Tribolium castaneum: one gene and its partners. The protein of the gene in region 2 binds, or shares a complex with, the protein of the main gene of each other region. Links are inferred from orthologs where the notes say so. Each region holds a gene or a part of one and is shown on either strand. Other genes may lie near its edges.

Region 1 (5,505 bases), about 5.3 Mb from region 2:
TCGGTTCAAGTCTTCGGCATTTGCCATCTTTAAAGTTTCTCGCAAATACCTCCTTAAAAAAATCATAATTAACGTAATCCCAAGAGTTGGGTTTCGTACTTGGCCTCATTGTAACGTCCTTGAAAAAACGCTTGTAGGCCTTGAACGTAATAAGCCGCCGCTCGTAAACTGTGCGAATGAGACGGCAAAGACTCGGGATTAATTCTCTCGTGAAGAGCGTTAAAATCCGACTCTCTTTTACCCCTCAAATACACAATTGCCAGATTCAAGTTTGCAAAAGTCCACAATTCGCGCTCGCGTGACGTCTACAATTTTTTGGAATAAAATAATATTGGGCACAGTTTTTATAATTACGTGTAAGGCGGCCATGAACTGCGCCTCGGCCGCCTCCATACAGTTCATACTCATGGAATAAAGCCCCAATAAAGTGTGCAATTGTGGTCCGTGTGTCTCTAACAACTTGGCATTTTGCCGACAAAGAGCCACAGCTGAGGAGATTTCTTGCAAGGCTTGAGTCTTGTTACCCATCACAAGACGACACATAATTATATGTTCGAGTAACATTAACTGGAAAACCGACAAAATCGGCTTATTATCTACAACTGTTAGAATTGTTGGACGTGTCAGATAAGTGTACAAAAACCAACTTTTCAATTTCTCGATTTGCATTAACGCCTTATCGGTGTATTTCTGGGCCTTTTCCATATAACCGGCCTGCATACTGTGCATCACAGTTACCAAATAAACCAAAACGTAGAGATGCTCTTTGGGCATCCATAAGAACATATCGCCAACACTTGGCCCTGTAAAAACATCATCCGTTGCCATTATTGTTTGTATGCTTTGTTGCAACTGCTTCAGGCAAGGTTTTACGCTTTTTACCTGACCGGCCATTAGACAATGGCACACCTGAAAATTGCTTTGAGCACAAAACCAATCAAATTGAGTAACGGACTTGCAACACCAAAAAATACACTCGGAGGTATTCCTTCTGGTACGCAGCGCCTGTCCAAGTTTCAATCAAGTGACCGGCTTGGTTTAATACTGGCTGGACTTCTTGCAACTTTTTGTCAATCAATAATAACTAAAATTACAATTTTAGCCCAATTTTGTGATTTAATTAAAGTCTTACCATTCCTTTACTTAAAAGAAACAAAACTCGAGTGTAACAAGCATTCGAGATGTGGGCATAATCCACCCCAACACCCAGCAGACTACTGGCCAACTGGTAGTCTTTCTCAGTTGCGTGAATTTGCTATAATTTTACAATTAAAATAGTTCTGCCAAATTGTATAATTAATTACCGCAAGCTGGAAAATTAGCCTGCAATGCCAGTAAACATTATGTTGCGACAACTCGATCGCTTTCCTCAAAATGGGCTTAGACAGCGAAATTTGCTGCTGTTGTTCGTACAATTCGGCCAAAACGCTCGCCGCTTCGAATTTAACATCGTCAAAGGTGTTGATCATTTGTGACAACAACCACTGAATTCAATCACGTCCAAATGAGTGTTAAATCAAGGGGCGCACTTACCGCTTGTTCCAAGTGGTTTTTCGCCAAGTCCGTGTTCTTGGTATGGGTCAAAAGTATGTTTCCGAGTTGTAAATGAGTGCGAGCTTCGACCCGCGGCGGTGGTTTAAAATTAAACACAGCCTGGAGGCACTGGATGCAGAGCTTGATCATAGGGGGGCTCGAGGTGCGGAAATGCTCGGCTAGCCCCAGGAGGGACAGGTACCAAGCGTCTTGGGACGAAGCCATCGCGAGGGATTGATTATTTTACACAAAATTCGCACCCAAACATGGTTTTTGCGCAAAATTGAAATATTTTGGGTCGACTGTCAAGCCAAACGCCAAACACCACACATGGGCGAAAATGCGGCGGTCGGGTCCGCATAAGGTCGAAAACTCCAACTCCCATTCATTGATTATTCTAATTAATCAACTTATTGATTATTTCAGTTGATTAGTTTATTGAATATTGCATTAAAAACTTTTTTCCTGCTTTTTATTTTTTTATTTTTGACGAAAAACACGGGTTTAGGTGTGTTTGGCCGACTAGATTTTTCGGTCTTATGGTGATAAATGTCAATGTCCGAATTGGGTTTATAGGTTAGAGTATATAAAATAAATTTCGTAAAAATAGGTGTTTTATTGCAAAACGATGGCCCTCACGGTGGAACAATGTGATATCTTACTCGAGTAAGACCAGTTCAATTTTGGCGCCCTTTTAATTCAGTTTTTGTAGTATTTTGGGTGAGACAAAGGTGAGAACCCACACTTTAGAAAGCCTTTCGAACGAGTTGCACAAAAAATTCGACTCTTGTGACTATTTTAAAGGTAAAAACCGCTATTTGATTACCCAAATAACTGTTTTTTTCAGTCGGAACTTGTCTGGTAATGATGCTTCAGCAAGATCTGTTGAAAGAGCCTGAGCAAAAACTTGTTGCTATAACGCTTCTGTATGAGTTATATCGGGGCGAAGCTCTGGCAAACACCCCTTTTGCCAACGTTTTCAACCACCTTTTGGTTTGTAATCACAGAAATTTAGTAATTGTAACATAGAAATTATCCTAGCACCCCCCGGAACACCAGAGTAGTGTCGGGTCCCCCAAACAGGAATATCCAGGCCAACTACCCAAACTGACACCACCAGAAAAACAATTCTTAACGCAACTGTTATCAGATGTGCCCAAAGATGCTGTAAGATTATCCAGGGCCTCCCCTGATAGGAAATTACTAAACGATTTTTTTTCTTCAAGATTTTGAAAAAAACAGCCACGCAAATAATCAATTCAGACGTTGGGAATACGCAAACAAATTTCGATTTTTCCGTTGTACAATTACTACTAGCCGAAAAACAGTCTGAATTGCCACACACTTGCAAAACAGGAATTCCTGTAGTTTTATCACTGCCTGAAAAAACTAACAATTATACGACAGAACGGAACGATTATGCAGCCCTTGTGAAAACTATAGCAACCGGTGATAACGCCCCCATTAATAAAGTGTACAAACCGGAATTTGTGACACTAGCACCGCCTTTGCTCAACACAGATGATGAAGTAAGGTTACATAATACAGCTTCTTTGTTTAATGCTATGGAGACGAAGGGAAATTTCCATTAATCAAGGAAGCTGTGATAATTTATTACTACCCTTGATTGTGTTTTTTAAGATGGTGTGGCTAAATCCGACAAACATCAAAGAACACACTGTAGCATATGACGTGACGATGTGTGTGCCTGACACAGCAGGCCAGGAGGCGAGACAATTGATGAACAAGGCGTACAAATCAGCGCTGTCTTTGCAACAGCAGCAACAACTGCTAGGCGAGCTGGAAAACGACTCAAAACTTGTGTACCACATTGGTTTGACTCCGTCCAAAGTATGAATCGAAATTTGGTGATTTTCGCTGATTTGAGTGCTTGCAGTTGCCCGAACTGGTGGAAAATAATCCACTTATCGCGATTGAAGTTTTGCTCAAGCTTATGCAATCGAAACAAATAACGGAATATTTCAGCGTTCTTGTCAACATGGAAATGTCGCTGCATTCCATGGAAGTGGTAAATCGGCTCACAACGACCGTGGATTTGCCCACAGAGTTTGTCCACTTGTACATTTCGAATTGCATATCGACTTGTGAGACTATCAAGGACCGTTATATGCAAAATCGGCTGGTTCGACTGGTTTGTGTGTTTCTCCAGTCGCTCATTCGCAACAAAATAATCAACGTCCAGGAGTTGTTTATCGAAGTTCAGGCGTTTTGTATCGAGTTTAGTCGCATTCGCGAAGCTGCCGCTTTGTTCAGGCTATTGAAACAGTTGGAGTCGGGGGAACAGATCGGACTTGTCTCCTCGCCAACGATAATGAAAGCAAAGCTCGAGGGTTGATTATTTAATGGAACTGTATCGTACAATGTGGCAGGCCGTGCTGTAATTTATCGACGATTTTTTCCCTCTCTTTGACGTACGGCAGATCGGCCAGAATCAGCTCTTTTAAGTTATTCAACGCGTTGAGGTGACTCAGCCCCGGCTCTGTTATATTCAAACACTCGGTGATTTGTAAATAAAGTAATGAGTTTTTTAAAACCGACAGCCCTTTCAACGCCTCATTCTCCAGATAGTAGCACTTGTGGAAAATGATTTTCCGGATGTGTTCGCACCCCACGAAATGGTCAAACCCGTAGTGCATTATGCTGGCTTCAGACGCGTTCACTTCCACGATGTGTAACCTAATCCTGTCGCTCGGCAGTTTGTTATAGTCTGTGAGAAACTCGTTGCAGTGCTCCCACTTGACGTGGGCCCCGTTCCGCAACAGCCACTCGGCACAAGACCTGTCAGGCCCCACTTGTTTCCGTCGTTCGTCGTCCACGCGGTTGAAGACGATGTTCAGCCAGTGGAAGAGGGTGCGCGTGTGGGGGATGAGCGGCCTTTGGAGGTGGCTGAGGCGAGTGAGGAGCATCTTATGTCAAGGTTTCCCCTTTGGTGACCTTCAGTTTATTTGTAAATAAAGCGCAGTGTTATGTAAATGAGACTTACACAAGCTTCCAAATAGTCGATCTTTCGCTCGAGAGTTGTCAACTTTTCGTTTAAAACGGCGAGTTTTGATCGACAAGATAAGTCTAAAAATAATTTTTGCGAGGTGTCAACAGTAAGGGGAAACTTACCGAAAGAATTGAGGAAATCGGTGATCTTTTTTATGCTGACGGTTATCACTTCGATGTATTCGCGGTTTACCCAGTCTTGTTGGATGGGCTTGGGGACTGTCTCTCCTCTAGGAGCAGCCATTTCCGCAAAAATACCGAAATTGTTGGTTACTTTTTAGGGAGTTTCAGTTTTTGCTTGACACTCTAACCCTCTCTCTTATTCTATGCTCTAACCTCGAAAAAGTTTCAAACAAGCTCGCTATTTTCGTAATTTAATTAAACAAATATTTTTTTTAATTAAATACTAAGTGCAAATGATTCGTTTTGTACGCTTTTGGTTATTTTCGAGTCTAGCTAATAAGTGGCAAAAAGTGCATTTGTAGGTTAGGCTTTTCCAAACAAGTTATTGTTTTGAGTGAATCATGAAAGACTCAAAATTAGTGTTGAAGGAGGCACGAGATGCCATCAAAAACAAGAATTATGAAACTGCCTTGAAACTATGCAAGGTAGGTGAAATTTTTATTATTTATAAGGTGTAGGGGTTGGTAAAACTGTCATAATTTACACTAAAAATTAAAAATTATCCGGTTACAAATTTCTAAAAAAACTTTGAAATCTGTTACCAATTGAAATAATCATTTGCGATCATTTCGAAATTTTGTTGCTAAATAGTCGGAGTTATCCGTTTTTTTTTTGTAGAAATTAACTTAATAAAATTAATAAAAGCATTGGCAATTTAAAATACTTTTATGTGTTCACTATTTTCTGATGAATCCAATCATTGTTTGATTCATTGTTTTTTTCTTTTTTTTCTTTGGACTGCACCTTTGTAGCAATTAGTTGCATAAGCGTTATCTTTAA
Region 2 (4,393 bases):
AATAATAATTGCGTTTCTACAAAAAAATGTGCAAACAAAGAACTATATTGACAAAATGATGTCATTTTCAGGACGGTTTTATAAAAAACGTCCAATTTTCAGTCCAATTTAGCGAAATGTAATTGATTAATTTAACTGCTCTTACATTTAAAAACTACTTACATGTTTACATGCCGCTTGTCCCCCTTTCGCATTTTAAATTACCTAAGACATTTTCTACAGAGTTTCGTTTTATTTGTTGGATTTTTTAGAATCATTTTCGAAATGTCATACGTCAAATTGAAAAGAGCGCGCGCATGCGCAATGATTTTCAACGAGGATCCCTTTCTTGACTAAAATAAAAGACTTTTCATCTAATATGCATTTGATATTCGTTATTTATTTCCTATCAGTGTCTCAGTTTTGCTTGTTTTTATCTAGCAGATTCTTCAATATTGCACAGAGGGGTAGAATGAATAGAAAAAGTGAGAATGTGCGACAAAGACAGACCCATTATTTTATGAATTAACGTAAAATTAGGCACGTAATTGTAAAATTTGTAAGCATTTTGATTGGGCCGTTTGAGGTCGGCCATCATGGTATTACCGAAAACCAATCACCTTAGATTTTTTGATTCATTCAAAAATTTACTTTTTGAATATCATTGGTCCACTTAAGGTCGGCCATTATAAAAAGTGAACAAGCCAATCACGTTAAATTTTGAGATTGATTCATTTTTTATTGCGAATGGTTAGTTTAATAAATATGAAAGCAGTCAATAAACAACAATAAAAAATGTGCATTTAATCAGGTCTTGCAAATTACAACGGAATCGGTCGAAATTGTACCTTTTCCAGTTGACCAACATCATAGAACACACGAATAAATCAAAACTAATGTTTGTTTTTGACCTCATTTTGGATTTTTCGGTTCTGTTTCTCAAAAACTTACGAAGAAGACATTATTTTGGTTAATATAATGTTAATTCTTGCGTTTCTAGCTAGCTAACTGACTAATCCGTTTTTTTTTATACAAAACAAATAAGCATCTGAGTTTTTTTCTATTTATTGTCTTTTTTTTAAATGTAACAATTTTTGGGCTAATTTGGTAAATTTTTGACATGTTTTTAGCAAAATGGGGCAAAAGTATTACTTTACGTACACAGTTGATTAACAAACAACAACAAAATAAATTTTCTGATTAATTTTTGAGGAAATTTTTTGATTGAGTTTCTGACTGAAAAAAATTGTAAAATGCAATAATTGTAGCTTTTGACCTTTTTCTGGGTTTTTACTTGAAAAATAACACTGTTTTTTAATTATTTTGACCATTCGGTAATTTTTTGACCTATAAGTTATGTTATTAGTTATTATCGAATTATGTTCCTTGATGATTTTATATCAAAAAATCTAATTCCACTAAATAGATCTCCAGATTAGCATCTGAAAATAGTAATTCGGTGTTGCCAACTTAACTTCAAAGTTACAGATCACGGTAATATAATATTATAATTTAATTGTGTTTTACTACAGTCGAACGAAGTTGACTTTGATATTCAAAAGAGACAAAAAGAGATAATAGTTAACGTCATTGGCTCCCAAGACAAACAGAAAGTTATCCTTACGACAAACGTATCAAAAGACAAAAAATACAGGTAAAAACATAGTCAACTTGGCGTCAATAAATTGTTTTTTTAGTACGGAAAGTCAGTCATACGCCGTTCCTGTCCCCTCTCTCGAATTTGCATCATTGTGTTTACGTAACGCTTCCACTTTACTCCCTTCCGATACAGTATCGTCCCCTATTCCCCTTTTTTTGATCCCCGGGGGAATCCCCCCTGTCCCATCTTGTAGTCCAAGCCCCGCACCCTCTTCACCCCTATCACCCGAAAGTGTAATGAGCCTCCGTAACAGTATTTTGGCAGCAAGTGCCTACGTAGCCCTCTGTCTAGGCGACTATATTTTAGCACTAGAACATGCGGAAAACCTTCTGCAACAACCGAGATTATCGGGTGCCCACAAGTAATTTTCACTTAAATGATTCATTTCGATTGAAGTTAATTTTTAGACTTCTTGGTCACTTGTACTGTGCTGAGGCGCTAGTTTTGTTAGACAAAATTTCAGAAGCCTTGGAACATTTAAACCCCGAAAATGTCAAACATATTAATTTAGAATTGCCAAAAGGGGACGAAAATGAAGAGAAACGGATTAAGACATCGCCGCCTCTAAGTCTGTATTTGCCACAACTTGCGGTTTTTTGCTTACGTTATTTTTAGAATGGTTTCCGCATAATCTGCCCACTGCGATTGCAACGATGCAATATAATTTCGCGGTGGCTAAGACAATTAGAGGCCAACTGGAAGACGCCATAGGGCTTTTGAAACAAATCTGGCAAATGAGCAGCAAATGTAAAGTGCCAGGACATATAATTATGCTACTTTTGTACATTGAACTTAAATTAGGTGAGTTGGTTTATTTTGGTGTAAAAGCATTTACTGTTTTTTAAAGGACGACCGGAACCAGCCAGGAAATTAGTTAAGCAGTACTTATTCCAAAATAGGTTGTAATAAAGTGATTTAGAAAATTAGTTTAGTTTTATTTATTTATCAGGCGAAAACACGTGGAAATACATCACTCGCTCCTTCGTTGCTCGTAAGTAATGTGCTGGAAAACTGTACCAACTTTGCAACAAAAAACTTTTTTATTGTCCGGCAAGTGATGTGGCTAATTGAATTAATATGATGATGTAAGTGGTGACACCTCCAAGGATCTAAAACATGATTCTGAATAAATTGTGCTTTTTCTTATTGTTGAAAGGCAGGTGAGAAAAACTCACGGAGAAAACCAAAGTGTAATTAATTGCGAAAAACCCAGCTGCGTTAAACTCCACTTGCTCGTTGGCAATTTGCAGGGAGAACATTTCAATTTCGTCTCTAATATCGTGATCTTCGGTGTCAATTTTATGAATAAGTTCGCCCGCTTTATTTGCCTGGAAATGTGCAACTTGTAGTTTTTTTCAAGAATTACTCAAAATACCTCTTCAATTGTTGAATAACACACATCGCAAACATACACAACGTCTATAACGAACGTAACATTAGACAAAATAGGGTTTAGCAAGCTCATGAAATACAGTTCGCCCGCTTGGACATTAGCCGTGAAAAAAAATATCGTAATGACGATAACAACAAAACTGACCCCAAACATAAGAAGCAAAACGATCCCGAATGTCTCATTGAACAGTTTCACCAATTTGGATAAGTGGTGGTGAAGGGCACAAATTTTATTCAGCGTGTTCAACTGCTTGTTTGTGCCTTTGGTCTCAACGGGACCTATTTTATTTTTTTGGAAATATTCGATCAAGTTATTGATTTGCTTGTTCAATATCACAAAGCGGATTTTCAACATTTTGACCAATTCAATCGTCTGGTGGCAAACGGCCGAATTCATGGCTAGAAGAATGTACGCCATTGCCTCCACAATCATAGTATCACCGTTCAAATTAGCGATAATTGCCAGAGTGCCAATAATCACCACCAAAACACCAACCCTGCCCAAAGACTGGACCATAATCTTCCGGTGAACTCTGTGATAATTCACCTTGATGTTCATTGTTTGCAACTTTGAGTCAAAATCGACAAGTTTCAGCAAAAATTCGACAAACATGTCGCGTTTCGTGATTGCACAAATCCATGCCGTTACCACATAAACCACATTCAAGCCCAGGATTATGATATTTGTGGTTTTGTAAATCATGAAAGAATCGTAAGTTGCAGTTGTGTACACGCAGTACAGAATCATGGGGACGTACGTGAAAATGGACAAAATGTTGAGGCAGAAACGCAGACTTGAGGGCCGGAATTTCGAACGGTCGGGTGTGAAGGTAACCAGGCCGAAAATACGGCTCTGGAATAGCAAAATTCGGATCGAGTTGACGAATTTTTGGTACAGTTTTTGGAAATCCGACATTTTTGTGGCTACGCCGGAGGCTAATCAAGCATTTTATTGTTTTAGATTAATCGATACATTTGAATTATTTATGTGAAATTAGCTTGTTGTATTTTTTGGGTCATTTGGCAACAAAGACGACGATAACTGAATGAGGATAATGAAATAGGTAGTAGCTCCACCAACAATCTGAAATTTGACGTTTTTGGTGATTTAGTTTAGCAGATCGGGTGTCTTACTGTGGAAAGTAAAGTATGATCTATTCGGAAAAATCCAACTGCGGTGAAACATATGTTGTGACTTTCAATTTGTTGTGAAAACATTTCAACCACGTCCATGACGGTCATATTCTCGCTTTGAATTTTGTGAATAATTTTCTTAGTTTGTTTGGTCTGAAACTTATGATTTTTCCTTTTTTGAGTGTTAATTAGTTATTACCTCTTCAACGGTGTTGTAGCACTGATTAC
Region 3 (5,328 bases), on a different chromosome or scaffold from region 2:
TTCACAAATTTCAAGAGGCGTTCATGCAACAATACCATTGTCATCCAAACTCTTGTTTTTTGTCAAAACTTTAATAAAACACATATTTTAAATCAATATTTCACTTTCAAAACAGAAATTACCAACTGTGACGAAATTCCATAAATCGACTAAAATAACAATTTTTGTTTAAAAACGGCAAACAAAAGGCAAATTACAAAAAATAGTATAACTCGTTTTATAAGACCTTATACCACTTATTCTTTCAAAAAACTGAATTCGTGCTTTATGAGTGGTCTTATGGAACTTCTTTTTTAATATACTACTAGAATACAAAGACAAAAAAATCAGTTCACAGTATAATCGAATTACCAGAGATACTAAAACCAAAACACTTTTAAATAAAATAGAAACAAAAGAATTTGGTTTTGTTTATGACAAATCAGTTATTCTTGAAAACTTTGATACAATAACATTTGGATATTAATTTGATAAATAAATTAATGAGTAAAAGTTATCTCCAAAAAAAATGATTAAATTCATGAGTCCAATAAAAACTTTGTCATTTTCTGGAGCGTAGACCGTTTAGGTATGCACCGAATTTTTCAACTCACATAATTCCCTTAAATAAATTTCATCTTCGGCTTTGCCTCTGGGGTGGCCCTGCCAGTCTTTATCTTTTTTAGACATAAGTAGTTCTATATTAATGCTAATCCTCCATTTTTGCTATAACAAGGATAATCCTAACTTAATAATGTCAGTTCCCGGCGCCTCCACCATATTTTACAGGGTGAGATTAAAAGTCATGTGGGTGGTGTTGTAGAAAAGGTTTATTTACAAAAAATGACTACATTGAATGAGAATGCGTACTTACACACTTGGTACCACAAAATAACCACGATGTAACAAGACTAATCAACACCAAGCAGGACTAACCAGGACTAAACTGAACTCCCCAATATTCCGCGTTTTTATTACGTTTTGAGAAGTTGAGTCGACAGTATTGATGACGTTCTAGTGTTCCACTTATGAACGACATCGCAAATGAAACCTCTTTTCGAAACATAATTTTTGTTACAGAATATTAGATAATAAAAAACTGACCCGATTTCCGCGTATGTTACAATAATAAATACTGTTTCTCTTTTAAAGCTGTTAACCTTCATAAAACAAAACTGTGAATTTGTGGATATGATCGAAACGAATTCATTTTTGTGTTCAAGTGGCCTAATAGAAAAACAGGGCAAAATCTTTGAAAAAATGTTAATTAAAAATATGCTTTAAAAACGATGGTTTTTTCACGATTTTTTCTGATTTTCTGTTTACCTCTAAAAATAAAGATGTTTTCCTTAAAAAAGTAGCTGTGTTCACTAGGGGCCCCCTTAGTAGTTGAAAAGTATCGGTTCTTTGCATTTTTCTCATAAGCGGTAAGCATATCAGAAGAATGAGTCAGGTAAACGTTGTAGATCATGCAATCACCATTTTGAGATTTTGCGGCTTCAAAAGTTAAAGTGGTAAAGTCGTGTATAAGAAAGTGACTTGGCACTTTTTTTAAACGTGGTTTGCCACACAAGTGTCTCCTGATAAAGAAAAGTTGATTTGTTTCGAGATTTTATATTTTTTTATTTATTTTCAAAGGTTTATCCCTCGCTTTCCACGCAATATTAATTACAATCAATGTTGATTTGTTGAGTCCAAGCAAAAAAAAGTCAAAGTAACGTGCCGTGTTTTTCTACCTACTGGCAATAATTTAAATTTTAGTTTCAATTTAAACCTCTTATTTATTTTCACTCATTGTCCCAATTTTTGTGTTTTTCAACTAGCAGAACGTCTACCATTACCCAGGGGGCTATAATTCAATGAAAAACTGAAGACGTGAGATGCAACAAAAGCAAAGACAGAGTCATCCTTTTATGAATTAACGTAATTAACGTAATGATTGTTGTAAAAGTTGTAAGCATTTCGATTGGGCAGTTTGAGGTCGGCCATTAAAATTAGGGAGAAAACCAATTACTTTACTTTTTTGGATTCATTGAAGAATTACGTTTTTGGATATGATTGGTCCATTTAAGGTCGGCCATCATGATAACGTGGAAAACCAATCACTTTGAATTTTTGGACTCATTCATAATTTAATAAAATAAGAATGGTTAATTTAAATTATAAGAGCAGTCAATAAATAAACGGTTTTAACTCCTACAGATAAAACTACGCGTTCCAAACGAACCGTTTGGCCTATGCATCAAATGAATTGGGAGAAATCCAATTACCTTATTTAAATTGTTGGTTGCATACTTTATAATTAAAACGTGTTTTTTTTTTGTTGACCTAATTTTATTTAGTTCAATTTATGTCATACTTATTTCATTGATTTTTTTAAAACAAAAAATTATTATTATAAACACTTTTTATTTGAAATAATATAAAAAAACGGGTTCGCTTTAGCCAGACTTCGGGAGTGGAGTATTTGACGTCCGCTTGAAAATATCTGTCAGTTGTCAGTCTGTAATCTTGTAAAATTTGGGGTTGTTAAGGGTTGTTTGTAGTGTTTTCGTCTCAATTTTGTTAAAAATTCACTTCACACAACTAACGTACAAAACATTAAGTAATTGTTGAAAGCAAACGTTTTAGTTTGGAAGTAATTTTTGTGGGCATAGCCTAGCATTACAAAAAACGCTAATTTTGGAAAACTGTGGTCTTGTATCAAGCCAAAATCATGAGCACTCAACCGAGTCCAGCAAACCAAACCGTCGAACGCGAAAAGGTTTTCCAGTGGATTCTGGAACTCACTAATCCAGAAACTAGGGAGAATGCCCTTTTAGAATTAAGGTGAGCGTTTGTAGTTGTGGGCAAACGGTCCAATTTTGGCTATTTGTAGTAAAAAACGCGAAGTTGTACCTGATTTGGCCCCAATGCTGTGGAACAGCTTTGGGACAACGGCGGCTCTCTTGCAAGAAATCATCAATATTTATCCCGCAATAAATCCAGCCACGTTAACTGCTCATCAGTCCAACAGGTACCAAGCGCACAATTTGAGGCAAAACTACTTGTTTGTAATTTTTTGTAGAGTTTGTAACGCTTTGGCGTTGCTCCAGTGCGTGGCCTCCCATCCGGAAACCAGATCTCAGTTTTTGTTGGCACATGTGCCTCTTTTCCTCTATCCTTTCCTGCACACAGTTTCCAAAACTCGCCCTTTTGAGTACTTGAGACTGACAAGTCTTGGAGTAATTGGTGCACTTGTCAAGGTATTTTTCTGATTATTTTTGTTGGCAAAAAGTTTATTTTATTATTGTAGACTGATGAGCAGGAGGTCATTAATTTTCTTCTGACGACTGAAATAATTCCCTTATGCTTGCGAATAATGGAGTCTGGATCTGAACTAAGTAAAACCGTTGCTACCTTTATCTTGCAGAAGATTTTGTTGGACGACAGTGGCCTTTCATACATTTGCCAGACCTATGATAGGTTTAGCCACGTGGCTATGATTTTGGTAAGTTGTTACCAATGAAAAGTGAATTTTAGGTTTGTATTTGAATTTTTAGGGTAAAATGGTTTTGGTTCTGGCGAAGGAACCAAGTGCTAGGCTTTTGAAGCATGTTGTAAGGTGTTATTTAAGATTGTCAGATAATCCAAGGTACTAGATATTTTTCTTGTTTGTTTCAGGTTGTGCTAATTTTTCTTTGCTTTTTTAGGGCTAGAGAAGCATTAAGGCAGTGCCTCCCTGATCACTTACGTGACAACACATTTACCGTGTGTTTGCAAGAAGATAAATCAACGAAACATTGGCTTTCGCAATTGTTGACGAATTTAGAAACACCCGGTACTTCAGAATTACGTCAAGGGGGAATATCACCCTTGACGTCCCAATAGTTGAAAATTGTGATTTAATAACGTCTTTCTTTAGTTTAGTTCAAATATCAAATAACAGTAGAGTATGAAATGTTACTTTTGGACTAGGATTTACGGTGTCTTAAAGAACGAGACAGAATTTTGCAAATTTAGCAGTTTCCATTTATCAGATTCTGCCTTGTTTTTTAAGATGCCAAATGTCCTGGTTCACAAGTCACATTTTATACTCTACTAATAACGAAAGCAATCATTGTATTGTCCTTGTAAATATGCCAACAGATCATTTTACTTTGTATCTTGTTTATATCTTTTAGGATGCCTGATGTGTATTATTTAAATTTTTGTGAAAAAAATAAAATATATAATTTAAATTATGCTGATTGTTTAATTAAAAATACCATAAATTAAACTCGCTCCATAATAGGAAACCAAAAGGCACGTAATATCATTCGAAAAATAAAATTACTTCCCAGAGTTTCACTTTTTCTTCCGCCAAAAATTCTTTACATATTAAATCCTATTTAATTAAACAACTTTTTATATAGTATTGAGGGATATTTACGTAATAATTAATAACTTCAACATCTAACTCGAATTTAATTAATCTTTTGGTTTAACTTATGTCTATATGATTTACATTTTTTAAGTTTAACTTTATAATTGAAAAAAGTATCAAAGTGTACTCTAATTATAAATTCAAATGGTCATATGGTATTATTATTATTATTATTTTCCCTTATTTACTGGAAATGCACGACCAGTATAAATCACAAATTTATAATAGAATATAAGATAAGGTAAATAAAAGAAATCATCCAATGATTAAATACAGTGGCGAACTCTAGATTATCACATGCTAAATAAAACAAGATGGAGGGCAGTCGCTGTACTGAAGCGCCATCTTTTTATATAACAAGTCTAAGGATAAAGGCCAACATCCGTTTAAAAACATTCTAAATTCACACTTTTTCTACAAAGCTACTACTTACTTCAGTTGATAATTTGTTGTAACAAAGATTTCTTTTAATAAGAAGTGAATTTTGAATCGATATTAAAGCATTTTAATGCAAGTCAAAGATTCTTTATAAGTATTATCCCTAAGTCTATTACTAATCTCAAAGTGTTGGCCCCTATCCTTTTTATCTTATTTTTGTAAAAGTACAATTCCTTATACTTTTTATTATAATCGGGAATACCTATATCCCAGACTTTCCTCAATTTGTATACCTAAGCATTCTTAAAGCTTCTCTTAATGCACAATGATTTTTTTCTGTTCCTACTTTAGACAGGTACAAAGAAGAACAATTTCGATCTAATTGGCGGATATTTTCAGAAAGTTTCACAAAATAAGTTTCACGATAAATCTTCAGATAAATCTAGCGAAATAAAATCGGTTTTTTGGCTTGGTGTAGCCAAATTATGCAAATTAACAGTTTTTGCTTGCAATAAGTATTAAACTAAAACTAACTGAAACATAAAAAATAATTTTCGACTTTCGTA

Evidence for each region.
Region 1: Not10 (region 2) and Not11 share a complex: the UniProt entries of both Homo sapiens proteins name them as parts of the CCR4-NOT complex. The link is inferred for Tribolium castaneum from reciprocal best matches to the Homo sapiens genes CNOT10 and CNOT11.
Region 3: Not10 (region 2) and Rcd-1 share a complex: the UniProt entries of both Homo sapiens proteins name them as parts of the CCR4-NOT complex. The link is inferred for Tribolium castaneum from reciprocal best matches to the Homo sapiens genes CNOT10 and CNOT9.

Annotation. Positions count from the first base shown.
Region 1 is NC_087396.1:20,954,187-20,959,691, forward strand, and holds Not11 (CCR4-NOT transcription complex subunit 11), read left to right. Parts: upstream 1-2,057; 5' UTR 2,058-2,161; coding exon 2,162-2,199; intron 2,200-2,245; coding exon 2,246-2,337; intron 2,338-2,380; coding exon 2,381-2,526; intron 2,527-2,574; coding exon 2,575-2,700; intron 2,701-2,759; coding exon 2,760-3,062; intron 3,063-3,174; coding exon 3,175-3,384; intron 3,385-3,430; coding exon 3,431-3,889; 3' UTR 3,890-3,893; downstream 3,894-5,505. Other genes in the region: MAU2 chromatid cohesion factor homolog, read right to left, coding at 1-52, 100-305, 355-909, 956-1,084, 1,133-1,255, 1,305-1,484, 1,534-1,758; ATP synthase subunit s, mitochondrial, read right to left, coding at 3,894-4,460; HSPC300 (probable protein BRICK1-B), read right to left, coding at 4,462-4,488, 4,538-4,620, 4,666-4,786; superkiller complex protein 3, read left to right, coding at 5,067-5,150. UniProt on the Homo sapiens protein: Component of the CCR4-NOT complex which is one of the major cellular mRNA deadenylases and is linked to various cellular processes including bulk mRNA degradation, miRNA-mediated repression, translational repression during translational initiation and general transcription regulation.
Region 2 is NC_087396.1:15,625,915-15,630,307, forward strand, and holds the end of Not10 (CCR4-NOT transcription complex subunit 10), read left to right. Parts: intron 1-1,511; coding exon 1,512-1,633; intron 1,634-1,676; coding exon 1,677-2,000; intron 2,001-2,046; coding exon 2,047-2,207; intron 2,208-2,254; coding exon 2,255-2,440; intron 2,441-2,486; coding exon 2,487-2,538; coding exon of another isoform or gene 2,539-2,545; exon of another isoform or gene 2,546-2,565; intron 2,566-2,588; coding exon 2,589-2,634; 3' UTR 2,635-2,679; downstream 2,680-4,393. Other genes in the region: putative gustatory receptor 28b, read right to left, coding at 2,680-2,748, 2,815-2,967, 3,015-3,548. UniProt on the Homo sapiens protein: Component of the CCR4-NOT complex which is one of the major cellular mRNA deadenylases and is linked to various cellular processes including bulk mRNA degradation, miRNA-mediated repression, translational repression during translational initiation and general transcription regulation.
Region 3 is NC_087398.1:10,414,611-10,419,938, forward strand, and holds Rcd-1 (CCR4-NOT transcription complex subunit 9), read left to right. Parts: upstream 1-2,484; 5' UTR 2,485-2,695; coding exon 2,696-2,808; intron 2,809-2,857; coding exon 2,858-2,995; intron 2,996-3,046; coding exon 3,047-3,224; intron 3,225-3,274; coding exon 3,275-3,469; intron 3,470-3,521; coding exon 3,522-3,613; intron 3,614-3,671; coding exon 3,672-3,849; 3' UTR 3,850-4,202; downstream 4,203-5,328. UniProt on the Homo sapiens protein: Component of the CCR4-NOT complex which is one of the major cellular mRNA deadenylases and is linked to various cellular processes including bulk mRNA degradation, miRNA-mediated repression, translational repression during translational initiation and general transcription regulation.